Mus musculus: one gene and its partner. The protein of the gene in region 1 interacts with the protein of each later gene in a pairwise test. Links are inferred from orthologs where the notes say so. Each region holds a gene or a part of one and is shown on either strand. Other genes may lie near its edges.

Region 1 (3,874 bases):
TGTTCTCCAGTCACTGCTATCTCCGAGAACCCCAAACTCATGGATAATAAAGCTAATTTGAAGTGCTACTTTATCTTCTGAGGGACTAAAGGGTGAGATGGAAAAAGTGCATAGTGTTTGGGAAATTCAATACTCCAGAATCATTCATATAGTGAGGGGTTAAATATAAATTAAAGGCAAACCGACAATCTGGGAATTCCAGTTCATCTGGGATATCACTGAAAGTGAGAATCTCCAATAGTTTTCAAATATACAAGGTGATAACTGTGTCCCTCATCTAAGACCATTTAGCTATAACAAAGATCCCTAAGGGCTCAAAGACAGGAGGGTCTCGAACTGCTCATACTTCATTAGGCTTTACCCCAATGCTGATAAACCAGGAGGCATTCTGGAAGATTATCCACCATTTGAAGGGCATTCACCATGTGCCAAAGTGCCTCCTTACCAGTAAGCCTTAGTAATGCTGTGAGGTAAATGACACGCAGTTGAGGTGCCTATTTAACGTACCAGAGCTAGCTCACTTGGCCTCCAGGTTCTCCCAGCAACCCCCAGTCCCTACCTGCTACAGGATATGGCTATCATACCCTGCCCCCTACCCCTGCCCTGAACTTTCCAGACAGCCTGAACTGCCCTTCCCCCAGAGGCTCTCTACCCTATATAATCCAGACATCTTGGTTACCTATTCCCTCTCTCTGTGCTCTCTCTCTCTCTCTTTCTACCTCCCTCCCTCCCGCCCCCTCCCTCTCTGCCTCTTACACTTTTATATGCTTGTTTTTTATACTTTTAATTTGGCCTGAATTGGCTCATTATATCAGCAGAGAAACCTATTACAGCCCACCTTACCCTTTCACACTTTGAGGCTCTCTTCATACGATTTCATGCTCCGAGTCACTCGGCTCCAACTTCACAGGGCAGACAGCCTTTTGAAGACCCCAGATGTCTATCCGTTCTGCTCCCTTCCTGGAGCTACTAGAACTGATTGAAGGCTGAGCTAAAGTCAGTATTCCACTCTCAAATCCCTAGGCAAGTTTTCCCCTCAACCTTGTCTATGCTAGCTTGGCCGCCAGTAGACATTCCCTCATACTCTCCACCGTCGGCAATGCTTGGGGCAGTGATAACTCCAGCCCCAGTCTCTGGCTACTTTTACTGTGTTGGGCCAGTGTTAGGGCATAAGATGTATTGCGAGGAATGCATCCGGGGTCAACAAGTCTTCTGCTCCCCCCCCCCCGCCCCCACCAGAACCATGTCTTTCCCTGATCCAGTAAGTCAAGAGAGATGAGAAGGGTCAAATCCTAATCAGGATCAGTCTTAAGGAGAGAATGAACCTGGTTTGGGGGAGGGGGATCCCGAAGAGTGAAACCACTTCCTGTGTTGTAGCTAGTTCCGGTGTTGACAGAGAAGAGCTGGAGGGGAGGTGGGGATGGTGGAGCAGTGTGGCCGGCTAGGGGGTTACTGAGGCTCTGGAGATGAGCCGGCAGGAATCCGCCCTGTCAGGAGCTTGCTCCACTCCTGCAGCTGGAGTCTCTCCCAGTCTCTGTCCTCCCCTGGGGCAAGAGAGGTCAAACAAGCTGTTTGGGTGGGAAAAAGAGGATGGAGGAAGTTGACAGAGTTGGGCGGGGCCCATGGGGGGGCTGACCAGGAACCCGGCTTCCTGCTCAGTACCCTGGCATCCAGCCCCCAGCTCACCCCCACCCCGTCCAGCCCCCATTCCCCTCAGGAACCCAAGGTTCCGGGTCCTCCTCCCAAATTCCAGCTACTCTTCCCCATCAGTGTCTCTCCCCAAGTCCAGGGATGGAGGCTGAAAGACCCCAGGAAGAAGATGGTGAACAGGTGAGCTGCTGGGGTGCCGGGTTGGGGAACCAACCCAGGGAGAAGGGACATGTGGGACCTAGTGACGGGTGGACACAGGAGACTTGGGAAAGCTTGGGCACACCAAGACAGGAACAAAAACACAGGGGAAATGGGTCACTGGCCTAGCCCTCCACCCACACACACCTCTGACTGGAATGAACAACATGTCTTGGTATCAGAGTCTCCCGCAGGATGATCAGGGATGGCCCCCTGTGAATGCCACCGCTCGGCCTTGGAGATCTGCTCCTCCCTCCCCTCCTCCTCCTGGAACCCGACACACAGGTACCCCACCAACCCTGGAAGATCTTGACCCTATCACCCAGGCTACCCCAGTGTAGGTCCACTAACCATCACACCTGTTGGTCCCTAGCTCGTCCACCAGCTCACCTGTCCCCACCGCTTGCTACTCCCATTCTGCCATAGCCTCTGGGTCTGAATCCTCCTCCTTCCTCTCCCATAGCCCTAGGGCCCCGTTCTGGCTCCCTGCTCTCCCTGCAGACTGAGCTCCTTCTGGACCTAGTGGCCGAAGCCCAGTCCCGCCGCCTAGAGGAACAGAGGGCCACCTTCCACACCCCCGAGGCCCCACCAAACCTAGCCCCAGCCCCACCCCGGCTTCTTGAAGACAAAGAACAGCTCTACAGCACCATCCTTAGTCACCAGGTAAGGCACATCCCACCCCACATGCATCCATGGAGACAAGACCCAGGTCTCCTAGCTGGCCTTCTGCCTGAGCCCTAACTTCTTTGTCCCTAAGCATATGTCCTTTGGTAAGCCTCTAGTCTCCCCATCCCCATCACAGATTTCCTATCTGCCCCACACCAACCCTGGCCTCTCTTACCCAAAACCATTATGGGCTACCAATGCCCTTTTCTCCCTCCACGTTTCTAGTGCCAGCGGATTGAAGCCCAACGGTCTGACCCGCCCCTTCCCCCCGGGGGGCAGGAGCTTCTGGAGTTGCTGCTGAGAGTTCAGGGTGGAGGTCGAATGGAGGAGCAGAGATCCCGGCCTCCTACACACACCTGCTGAGACCGGAGCTCCTCACCAGTCCCTTCTCTCTGGGACTCAAAGCTGGGACACTCCCCGAAGGTCTTCAACCCTGTTTGGCAGGGGTAACCAGAGATGGAAGACCCGGCTAAAATTGCTGTATTTACCACCCACTTTCCCTGGGGACTGGACTTGGGACAAGTACTCTAACCATGAAGATAAGCAAGGTAGGGTGGACACAACTCCCGAGGACAGTTAAAGAGTCTCTATCCTGAGCTGTCAAGCTACTAAACAGGGTGTGAGGGCTGCGGCCTGCCCCTGCCTAGTGAGAAAAAAAGGGAAGAGTAAGACAATTGTCCAGCACTAGCAGTCTCAGGCCCCAAGGCAGAGGGGCCCAGAGGCGGTGAAGCGACTCTTACCCCGCCCCCACCCTGCTGCTGAGTCTGTCTGATGTTTTGGTTGTATGAATAAACATAATTCCCCTCTGGACTGAAGACTGGTATCTGGGGGTGTGTGTGGGGGGGTGCAAGGTGGGTAGGTGAGGCCTGGGGCAGCCGCTCTCAGCGATCTGGCCAGAGGCCAGCTCCCCTCCCTGGCTGGTTAATTACTGGCTCATTAAGCAGCGGCTGGAGACCTCCCTAATCATCTCCCCCAGCCCCCAGTCTCCCGGTTTTAATTAAGTCGAACAAGGAGGGGAGTCATTAGAACAAGAAATATGAACCGAGCTGTCGGAGAACATTCCAGAGGCCGGAGTCCGCACCACCCGACCATGGCCTCGGAACCCAGGTGGCCGAGACACCCACCCCAGCGCCCTTTCGGCCAGCGCCGAGGCCAACCCAGTCTCTCCCCGGCCGCCCGGCCGCTCCCCGCCTCCACCCGCCGCCGCCGCCGCCGCCTGGCCTGCGTCTCCCCGCCCCCGGCTCCTCCCCGTTCCTCCTCTCCTCCCCTCCTCTTCCTCCCGCTCCCCTCCCCCAGCCGCCTCCCTCGTTCCCCCTTCTCCCTCCTCCCTCCTCTCGCACACACACCCCCGCTTGGGCCT
Region 2 (3,500 bases), on another chromosome or scaffold:
AGCTTTGAAGTGAAAGAGTGGAAATTTCAATTTTGCCACTGCTGTATAACTGGACAAATTACTTGACCTTTTTGCTTGATTTATCTCATTATAAAATGAGGGTAATGGGGCCCACCTTACAGAGGTGTGAGGGTTGAATGAGTTCATATTACCAAGATACCTAGAATGCCCTGCTACTCGTTACTCATTGCTCTTTAACGTTTACTCATGAATAGTGCCTTAAAGCATCAAGTTAGGCAAGTTAGAAAAAAGCATAGGGTCTGGAGAGGTGGCTCAGTGGTTAACTGAGTTGTGCTTCCAGAGATCCTGAGTTCAATTCCCAGCAACCACTTGGTGGCTCATAACCGTCTGTAATGGATTCTGATGCCCTTTTCTGTCATGCATACATTCAGGGAGACAGAGCACTCATATATATAAATAAATAAACTTACATAAGTATAGGTAGAGAAAAAGACAAAGATCAACTTTGAAAAAAGCTGTCTTGAAAGGCAGGGGAAGGCCTAGAAATAACCACTGAGCTGTTTAGAAATGGTTTCAGTGAGTGGTGGCGATGAGCTGGAGGTTCTTAATTAGAGATTGTAAGGATGGATGACAGGCTAGGGAAATTTTGCCATAAAGGAACACAGAGAGGGGCAGCAAAGATAGCTCAGTAGGTAGAGTTGCTTGCTTTTTAGTCTGAAACCTCAGTTGATCCCTGGGACCTTCATGTGGAAGGAGAAAACCAACTCCTGTAAGTTGCCCTCTGACCTCCACACCTGTTCATGTGAGTTGTCACTCTTCCCCCAACCCCATAAACACAATAGATCTTCTAAAAAGGGAGGCACAGGGAAGGTGGAATAGCAGATAGAAGAAAGTGAATGTGTAAGGGGATGTCAAAGAATGGTACTGGTGAGTTGTGTAAAGATGGTAAAACAACAGCCTGTGTGCTAAGACATCCCAGTAAGAAGAAAAAATAGTGATACTTTGGTGACACTAGAAATTGCAACAGCTACAAGTCGAGCTGCAATGAAGTTAAGTATATAGTCAGAGCGATAAGGGCATTGAGACATTGATGACATAGAGAATGTTAATGGAGATACATACAGGTAGACTAGTAGATTTGGTTATGAGAAGTGGAGTAGTGCTCTCTGATTGCCTTCCACTTTCTCTAAAAAGGAGGAGCAGGACTGTCATTTATGAGTCAGAAGTAGCATTTGATGCTGGGGAGAGTGGTAATGTTACAAGAGGCATTTTGGAAAATGGAAGAATTACTAATCAGGAAAGACCTAGCAGGCAGACTATCAAGATCTGAAAGTTTATTTGACCTTTGATCTTTAGTTTAAGAGTGATTTCAGTCATCAAAGGAGGCTGTGTAAATCCTCCCCCCTCCCCCTAGAAGAGCTGACTCATGAAAGGTAAAGGCAACGTGAGTTCTGCTGATACTTGGAACTTCTCTAGCTCTGTGACTAGGAGGGTTGCTTATGGAATATTCTTCAGGTCCATGGCAGGTTACAGAATTACTAACTATGAGTAGGCCATAGGCCTATTTGTTGCCTGTGTTCCTTGAGTATATCATGTTTTATGATGTTACTAAAAATATTTGTGTTGCTATCCTTGAGTAATGTCTGTTTTGCACAAATGGTATCAACATTAAACAACAGCAAAATGCTCTAATTGAAAACCAGTTTTCCTAATAGACATGAAAGCTCACCAAAATTCCCATTTGGATCTATATCCCCTAAGCTAGACTTCCTAGTTGCATTACTTACTCCATATCTGTTTGATTACAAAGAAATTCAAAATCTGTTTTTTTGTTTTGTTTTGTTTTTTTTTTAGGCGCTGGAGAATCTGGTAAAAGTACCATCGTGAAACAGATGAAGTAAGTTCACACAGGGCCTTTTAAGACTGAATTTCCTTCTCTTCATAAAAAGTTTATAATGCTTTCATTTTCCATTCATGGTATTGACTTGCGGTTTTCTCCTTTTTGAAGAATCATTCATGAGGACGGCTATTCAGAGGACGAATGTAAACAGTATAAAGTAGTTGTCTACAGCAATACTATTCAGTCCATCATTGCAATCATACGAGCCATGGGACGGTTGAAGATTGATTTTGGGGAATCTGCCAGAGCAGTAAGTATTTCTCATTTCCTCTTCACTTGCTGCTCTTCAGTAGGCACAGTTAAGCCAAATTTGTGTCATGTTTTAGGGAACAAGAAGATAAAATGGTACAAAATACCGTGTGTCTGTTTTTGAAGTGTTAGGTCTGACTCAGGAGACAGTAAGTTACCGACGCATGCAGAGTCCTGGAAATGGGATTCTGTAGCTGGGCTGTGTGATGGCTGTGTTCAGTTGCTTCCTTTGCCACACCATTGACATATATTTTATAGTAGTTGATGATGCTAAATGTTACTCTAAAAGACAGGATGTATATGTTGTATATTTAGTCTTGCTTTCAGAGCTGTAGGGGGTCAAAGGGAAAAAAATTCCCCAAATAAATTCTGTAAGGACATAAACACTAGCATCCCAATTTTAGAGGTGATTTTGGGTGTTCAAAAATATCTTATCACTGTCTTTCATTGAATTCAGGGTTCAATTAGAATTGGGTTGTTACTTATTCTAATATAACTCTTTAATGCTTTATATATATCAGAATTCAAAAGTCAGTTAATAATATTTAGTACACTTTGGGCAGTTTGTGAAGTAGGATGTTTGAAGCCAGTGGAGAAAGGACCAAATGAAGACAGGAGATCTTCTTATGTTGTTACCAACTCAATTTCAAGAACATGCTAGAGAAGTATAGAGTCCATCAAAGGATGTCAGCCATGTTCCGTGGTGCAGTTCTTAAGTGCCCTGGGAAATAAATGGAAGTGGAGGGGGTTGGGATGGAGAGGGCTTTGCCTGGAAAGACAAAACCTGTGTGCTTGTGAGCAGCCTAGGGACGGCTATGAGCTGCTCAGTTTATCAGCTGCAAGTTAGGGTTGATAAGTGGGAAGTGAAAAGGAAAATATTCAGAGAGCTGCTGTGGCTTTGACTTGTTGAGTAGAATATATCTTGGAGGTGAAATAAGAGATCAGGAACTAGTTAAGGGTTGTGGGAGAAAAGAATAGTAAGAAAAGAAGACTAGGAAGATATGTGAGCGACTTTTACTGTCTTGTAACAGAGTTCAGGGCCTCTTCTTCCTCCTGGGAATGGTACTCGGCCTCAGCTGTGCAGGGTGAGTCCGTGGACAACATTTAGCCCGCAGGCTGTTTCCTGCCCCTTTTTTTCTTTTTCTCTTTTTTAAATTTTGTTTTTAATTATGTGTATGTGTGTGTCCACATGTGCATATTGCATGTGTGTGGATCCCCTTGAAGGCCAGAGGAGTTTGATTTTCCAGAGCTGGAATTACAGGGAGTTTGACACTACTTCGTGTGGGTGCTGAAAAATCAAACTCTGTCCTCTGAAAGAGCGGAACGTGCTCTTGACTGAGCCATTGCCTCATACCCCGTTTCTGATGTTTAGAGACTGTCTTACCTGGAG

What was found. The genes of interacting proteins can lie anywhere in the genome.
Region 2: the proteins of Gpsm3 (region 1) and Gnai3 interact in binary tests that used the Homo sapiens proteins (3 or more experiments, as listed by UniProt). The two-hybrid records come from large-scale screens. The link is inferred for Mus musculus from reciprocal best matches to the Homo sapiens genes GPSM3 and GNAI3.

The regions. Positions count from the first base shown.
Region 1 is NC_000083.6:34,588,431-34,592,304, forward strand, and holds Gpsm3 (G-protein-signaling modulator 3), read left to right. Parts: upstream 1-1,375; 5' UTR 1,376-1,791; coding exon 1,792-1,830; intron 1,831-2,030; coding exon 2,031-2,133; intron 2,134-2,311; coding exon 2,312-2,511; intron 2,512-2,739; coding exon 2,740-2,877; 3' UTR 2,878-3,324; downstream 3,325-3,874. UniProt on the Homo sapiens protein: Interacts with subunit of G(i) alpha proteins and regulates the activation of G(i) alpha proteins.
Region 2 is NC_000069.6:108,122,153-108,125,652, reverse strand, and holds part of Gnai3 (guanine nucleotide-binding protein G(i) subunit alpha), read left to right. Parts: intron 1-1,815; coding exon 1,816-1,858; intron 1,859-1,969; coding exon 1,970-2,111; intron 2,112-3,500. UniProt on the Homo sapiens protein: Heterotrimeric guanine nucleotide-binding proteins (G proteins) function as transducers downstream of G protein-coupled receptors (GPCRs) in numerous signaling cascades.